Linked DNA regions of Macaca mulatta. The protein of the gene in region 2 interacts with the protein of the main gene of each other region in a biochemical or structural test. Links are inferred from orthologs where the notes say so. Each region holds a gene or a part of one and is shown on either strand. Other genes may lie near its edges.

Evidence for each region.
Region 1: the proteins of BIRC3 (region 2) and UBE2V1 form a complex in vitro, tested with the Homo sapiens proteins (2 studies listed by BioGRID). The link is inferred for Macaca mulatta from reciprocal best matches to the Homo sapiens genes BIRC3 and UBE2V1.

The regions. Positions count from the first base shown.
Region 1 is NC_133415.1:102,962,426-102,966,173, forward strand, and holds the start of UBE2V1 (ubiquitin-conjugating enzyme E2 variant 1), read right to left. Parts: upstream 2,838-3,748; 5' UTR 2,820-2,837; coding exon 2,798-2,819; intron 1-2,797. UniProt on the Homo sapiens protein: Has no ubiquitin ligase activity on its own. The UBE2V1-UBE2N heterodimer catalyzes the synthesis of non-canonical poly-ubiquitin chains that are linked through Lys-63.
Region 2 is NC_133419.1:103,206,266-103,209,700, reverse strand, and holds the end of BIRC3 (baculoviral IAP repeat-containing protein 3), read right to left. Parts: intron 2,343-3,435; coding exon 2,088-2,342; intron 1,543-2,087; coding exon 1,501-1,542; intron 1,395-1,500; coding exon 1,201-1,394; 3' UTR 571-1,200; downstream 1-570. UniProt on the Homo sapiens protein: Multi-functional protein which regulates not only caspases and apoptosis, but also modulates inflammatory signaling and immunity, mitogenic kinase signaling and cell proliferation, as well as cell invasion and metastasis.

The DNA.
Region 1 (3,748 bases), on a different chromosome or scaffold from region 2:
ACATATGTAGATACCACACATTGCAGAACCAAAGGAAGTGGGAAGGCGGTGTAGCCAAATGCTGAAAGCAGTGACCATAAAAAACTAAGTTCAGCCCTTACAGGAACTCAAAGGCTTCACAGCTGTTTCCTGGCAACCAGAAGCACAGATTAATAAAGAGCCTCACTCTAAACCTGACTAAGGAAGGCCTCAGGGCCCTGACCACACCTGGAAGACTTCTCAGGGTTAGAAAGCAGGGAGGCCTGTACACTCATTTTAGTTTAACCCAAGTAAGGTCTGCTTAGCACCCTGCACTCTTTTCACTGCCTAGGGACTTAGGTCAGATCTTGCCATACTCCTCTTTTTAAGACTCTTATTTATTCATTCAACAAATATTTACTGACTGCCTACTTCATACCAGATACTTGTTTGATGGCTTCCCCTCACACCAAGTCAAATCCAAAGCCATGTCTCTCCAACTCATCTCTTTAACAAGCCTTGCTTGCACACTAAGGCCTTTTATCCTGTTCTTTCAACATGCCAAGCTCAGTCCCACCACAAGGCCTTTGCACTCACAGTCCACCCTCTCTCCTACCTGTGACACTGTAGGGTTGGCGCTTTCCATTATTCCCCTCAGTTGAAATGTCACTTTCTCAGAGAAGCCTTCCCTGACCATCTCTCCAGACACTCTTTATCATATCACACAATTTCCTCCATAGCACTTACTGCTATCTGAAATTGTCTTATTTATTTACCCCTTAACAGCCTTCTCTCCTTGACTCGAATGGAAGCTCCCAAAGGACACAGACTATGTCTGTTTTGTTTGCTATCCACAATGGGACATAATAGGCCCTCAGTAAATATCTTTTGAATAAACAGACAAAAAGAATTTTGGGAAGTCCATTTTAGGGCACCTCAAAGCCTGTTCTATGTTATCTAAACCATGCCAAATGCTCTTGTATTCCACTCGAGAGCAGCTGACATTTTATCTGATCGCCATAGCCATTTACGAAGCACTCACTTTTTAACTGTCAGGGTCTCCAGAAGTTAGAATCGGGCACCTGTTAACTCAGATTGTAGGTAGCCAACCGAGTGACTGCAAGCAGGGCTGAGCTGCAACAGCACCTTATTGCTGGCTACCGCCAGCACACTGGGCCCCTTGCTTCATTACGACCTGGTACGAGTGTTATTCTGGTGAGAAGTTTCCCCCAGCAGTCTGGCCTGACTCAGAATCTCTCTTCTGGGAGTGCCTGGGGCAGCGTCTTGGTAAATGAATTGACTCAGCACTGTTCCAGCTGAAACCAAAATCGAGTAAAAGGATTCATGGTCTCCGCTATGCTGCAAGAAGACCCCACTGTTTTAAATGCAAAAGGCAGCAGCTTCTGGTGGGTCACTTCAGTCAGATCTCCCATATTCAATTTCTTTTATTCTCACCCCAACCATCAGACAAGTATGGCTCCTTGAGACCGCAGAGGAGCAACACTGTAAAGAATTTCCCTCACCCTATTTCTCATGGATCACCAATTCCTTCCCAACACTGCCCCTGCTGTGGCCTTAAATACCCCAATGACTGCCGTACTCAGGTTCGTGTCCCTGCAGCCCCACAGTGGGGAACACTGTGGTTCTGTTTGCTTCCTCCATCAGAGGTAACCCATCTTCACCCCATCTGAGAGCACCTCCTTGGCCAACTTCACTGCCAGGCACCCGAGGGTGCAGCCTCACCCAAGAGTGTCCATTTCATCTATTCACCTCCCTACTCCCATCAGCCAGTGGGGAACTTCTGAGCTGAACCCACATATCTGTCCCAATTATCAAAGGAGTGGATGAGAGTGAGCGTCTCCACAGAAGAGACACTTCTAGGATATGCTTCCCTCACTCAATTCAAAAAGAGGAGACTTATCTCGTTTACAAGAAACATCTCTGGAACCCGACCTTTTCCACTAACTCATTTCAGGGGCTTCCCTCAGTTGAATCCCCACTCCCAAAGAGACATCCTCGGGATTCCCAATTCACCTGTTCTTCCTCATTCAATATCAGAGGCTTCCACCAATTGCCCCAACGGACCTGTCCCCTGAAAGCGAAATTGGAGCAATCCATCTGTATCCTCGAATAGGAGACTGGTAATGATGGGGTCATTTCACTATCACTGCAATCAAGTCCCTGTGGCATCTGAATCCTTTCCCCCCCGCTCTCACTTATCATGCGGAGATTCCTTAATTCTCCCCAAAAGCAGCCGCTCCAAGGCTCCTCCTTTCTAGTCAACACAGCTATTTCCTCGGCTAACCCCATCTCTAAAACTAACGCCGGAGCCGTCCCCTCAACCAATAGGGGATCCTCTCGAGTCACCCCCTCAGGATCCCGTTCCTTCCTCCCATCCAGCTTGAGGGGCTCCTCTGATGTCCCCTGCAGACATCCCAAGGCCCCCCCTCAGCCGCACCCCTGGCACCCAGTACGGGACTTCCATCCGCTGTGGGGCGCCTCCTCCTCTAAGGAACCCCTTGGTCGCCCCTTAAGAGTCGCCAGCCCCGGTCTCCTCAGAAGTGCCTTGGAGCTCGCTCCTCGCCCACTCCGGCTCCCCCAGGTAGCGCAGCGGGGCCCTCACGCCTCCCGGGGGAGCCTTAAGGCTCGCCGCGCCGCCCACAGGCCCCTCAGCCCCCCGCCCGTGCTTCCGGCCACCGCCTGCCCGTGGCTGCAGCGGAGCCCACCGGACAGAGGCGGCGCGGGGACCCTGGCCCCCCTGCAGGAGCCTTTGAGAGTCCCCAGCCCCCGGCCCAAGCCCATGCCCCTTCGGCCGGCCGGGCCCGGCGCCCCCGCTCACCCGAGCCCGTGGTGGCTGCCATCTTGCGTCGCTGTTGCTTGAAGGCCGGCCCCTTCTTCAGCCCCCACCCGTCCCCTGGCCCTGATGCGCAGGCGCGCGCGCACGCACAGACGCCGCCACTGACGCCCGCTCCGGAGACCTGCGCGACCCGAGGCCGGGGAGGCTCTTTTCCTTCCCTTTTAGAGAAAGGAAATATCTGCGTGCTCGAGGGCTCAGCAACCTGCAAGTCCCCCCACATCGGGTGCGAGGGAGGTTGTGACGTGCTTAGTGAGAAGGGCAGGGGTGACGAGGCTTGGGAAGGCGCGATTGTGAAAGAAAAAGAAAAGATAGCTTCAAACAAAAGCGCCGAATTCACTTGGGGCTTTTTCCTGTCTAGTTCCTATCTAGATCCTCACCACATCTCCACAAGGTCGGAATTAATGTGAAAAATGCAGCCGAGAGAGATTAAACGATTTATCTAAACTCAGCTGTTAAGTGGCAGAGACAGACAGAATTTTAACCTCCAGGTTCAAATTTGAATTTGAATCGTCACCCTCCAGGTCAGATGATCTGGCTTCTAGGATTGATGCTCCCTGGCCAGAGAAGGCTTGAAGTGGGTGCAGCTAAATGATTTGGGGGCAATAAGGTGGCAGGGAAAACATTTGCTAACCATCTGCCCAATTCATTCATTCACTCATTCGTTCGTTCATTCATTCATTCAACCAAACAAACATTAAGCACCAACTATGTACCAGACACTGTGCTAGGAGCTGGGGATGGATAGACATCTCTGAAGAAGCAAATCCCTGCTTTCAGGGGCTTCCATTCTAGTCATAGATAGCAAGTAAATAAACAGGAAACTACAATTCTGATAGGCTAGAGATAAACCAAGAAAAGGGCAGCGGAGGATGGTCAGGAAAGGCTTCCTAACGTGGTCGTATTTCAACAGAGACCCTAACAATGAGGAGGTAG
Region 2 (3,435 bases):
GGTTTAGATGACTGGCCTTTGCCTGTCTTCCCCTGATTTTCCCTATTACAGTCTTACTTCTAGTCTTAAAGACCTAATACCTCTATAAGAAACAAAGGAGAGAGTTATGACTTGGACATGTTGAGTACCAAAAACGTAATGCAGAGGGGAACATTTTGTTGCACTGACAACATGGAACAGATTTATTTACCAGAACAACCTGTTGGTCCCAAGCATTGCTAACCAGTGTACTTTCTAAGTTTCAGAATTAATACCAAAGAGGTAAGAATAAAACTCAGACCTTCTTCCAATAGGCGGGTCTGGCATCAGACTTCTTGAATGAATCAATAGACAAATGAATAAACAAACTTACTAAAGGGACTGTTTGATTCTTGTCTCAGGCATTCCATAAAATCCTATAGACTTTATAGTGTCTTGACCCCGTGCTCTGTGTCAATGAAGAAGCATCTTATAGGAAAGAATATAAACTGTAGTTCAATATTTAAGAGGCTTCAAGGAAGTATGGAAAGAGTCTGGGAGTGACTAAACTATCCAACGTCATAGAAATAAAGCTATTAAGAATAAGAGTAATTTTTGTTGCTTTATTAAATTTTTTCTCACAGAATTCTTTATAAAAATACCATGTCCCTAAAATGTCATTCAACATATATGCACACCTTCAATGTATAGGACGCTGATCAAAAAAGACAGAGAAATGTGTCTCCCTGGTGTTTGGTTTTTGTTCTGTTTGTTTTTACAGGCAGGGTCTCAGTATGCTGCCCAGGATGGATTCAAACTCCTGGGCTCAAGTAATCCTCTTGCCTCAGCCTGGGACTACAGGCACACACCACCACATCTGGCTTCATGTTGCCAGTATTAATGCAATGCCAAAATATTCAAAATTCTGAAAGGCAAACTCAAATATCTTAAATTTTACTTCACTTACAATTTCAATAATGCTGAAATGTTGATTGAATATTGTGTTTGTAGTGCTATCTCTTTTTTGTTCATAAGAACAACAGCCTATCATTCTCTTGGTTTCTAAAATGTATGTTCATATGGTTTAGATACATATAGTTATATAAATATGTTACACAAAACAATATTTTTTTGAGTTGTAAATAAATAAAAAATTTTAAGGAACTGAATCAGGATAAAAGTTAAAATTATAATACATTTAATAAATTAATTCTAAAGTTTAGACAAAGTTTTGGTTCTTCTTCATGAAAGAAATGTACGAACTGTACCCTTGATTGTACTCCTGCAAATAGGACACTTTCTTAAAGAAGGAGCACAATCTTTGCATACTACTAGATGACCACAAGGAATAAACACTATGGACACTTCTTTGTCCATACACACTTTACATGTTCTTTCTTCTTGTAATCTCCGCAACTGTTCTTCCACTGGTAGATCTAGAAAGAGGAAAGAATTTTTCATAAAAGGCAATTTGCTTCTTCAATGAAAAAAACAAGAAAATAGACAATGTTTTCTATTGGTTTAAAATATTAATACTATTACCTGAAACATCTTCTGTGGGAATATACTTTATGTCCTGTTGCACTAAGGGAGAAAAAGAAAAAGCATTACTATGACAAATAAGGTTAATATTTAGCTACAGAATATATTTTAAAAATGAACTCTTTAGACTTTGGCCAAATACTCATGTCAAGGCAACAAAAGTCTTTAATCTTTTTATGCAATTAATATCTATAAATTTGATTGAGTTTTTTTTCAAGACAGAGTCTCACTCTGTCACCCAGGCTGGAGTGCAGTGGCACAATCACAGCTCATGGCAGCCTCTATCTCTCAGGTTCAAGCCATCCTCCCACCTCATCCTCCTGAGTAGCTGGGATTACCAGGTGTACGCCATCACAACTAATTTTTTTAAAAAATTTTTGTAGTGATGGGGTCTCGCCATGTTGTCCAGTCTGGTCTCAAACTCCTGGGCTCAAGCAATCCACTTGCCTCAGCCTCCCAAGGTGTTAGGATTACAGGCATGCATCACCACACTCAGCCTGAATTATTTTCAATAATCATAAGTTATTAATAAGATCATATTTTCAATTGACTTAGAAAATTTAAAAAAATAATTTTCTACCACTCACCAAATAAACGCTCATATAACACAGCGTCAGCTTCTTGCAGAGAGTTTCTGAATACAGTGGCTGCAATATTTCCTTTTACTAAAATAGTATCAATCAGTTCTCTTGCTTGTAAAGATGTCTGTGTCTTCTGTTTAATAACATCATGTTCTTGTTCATTAATAATTCTGGCAGTTAGTAGACTATCCAGGATTGGAATTACACAAGTCAAATGTTGAAACAGTGCCATTCTATTCTTCCGGATTAATAATAAATCATCTTTATAAAAAAGAAGACAAACATAAACATATTCAAACACTGCTCACAAACTTCCTTCCAGGCCTACATATGTAACAGAATAAAAACTGTCTTTAATTCATAATCAGTAAGGCATTGATATTGATTGCTAGGTTTAGGGGTATCTCATCTCCTGTGCTTAATAATAATGTTATTATAATTATAATTCAGGGTGCAGTGGCACATGCCTGTAGCACCAGCTACTCAGGAGGCTGAGGTAGGAGGATCACTTGAGCCCTGGAGTCAGAGACCAGACTGGGCAACATAGCAATACCCTGTCTCAAAAAGCTGTAATAATAATAATAATTATTATAATTATAATTATAGTAAGGACTAACATTTAGTGAGCACTGTGTTAAGAACTTTATACACATTGATTCATTTCATCTTCACAACAGCTCTTTGAGGTAGGTCCAAATAGCCTCATTTAACAAATGAGAAAATGAAGCCACAGTGAGGCAAGTAAGTTGCCAAAGGACACCACAACTAGCAAAAATCAAACTGAGGTAGTCTGGTGTCATGTACTGTGCTTTCAATCATTTTGCAATACTGCTAAGCCTTTAACCAAATGAAACTTAGAACCTATTAAAATTGATGTTTCAATTCAATCTAGGTAAATTGGGGAAAGATAAAATCAAGATAATTAAAACAATTTTTTCTTAAAGTATTCTTCCATAAAATTTCTTTTATTATTTATTTATTCATTTTTAAAACAGAGTCTTGCTCTGTCACCCAGGCTGGAGTGCAGTGGTGTGATCTCAGCTCACTGCAACCTCTACCTCCCAGGTTCATGCTATACTTGTGCCTCAGCCTCCTGAGTAGTTGAGATTACACCCAGCTAATTTTTTGTAGTTTTAGTAGAGACAAGGTTTCACCATGTTGGCCAGCCTGGTCTTGAACTCCTGGCCTCAAGTGATCTGCCCACCTCAGCCTCCAAAGGTGCTGGGATTACAGGTGTGAGCCATTGTGTCCGGCCCATAAAATTTCTTTAAAATTCCAAGTTGAAATTTTAATTATTTCCAGAAATTAGACATATTGCCATTACCTGAATATTGTATAGTAAGCAGGGAAAGGC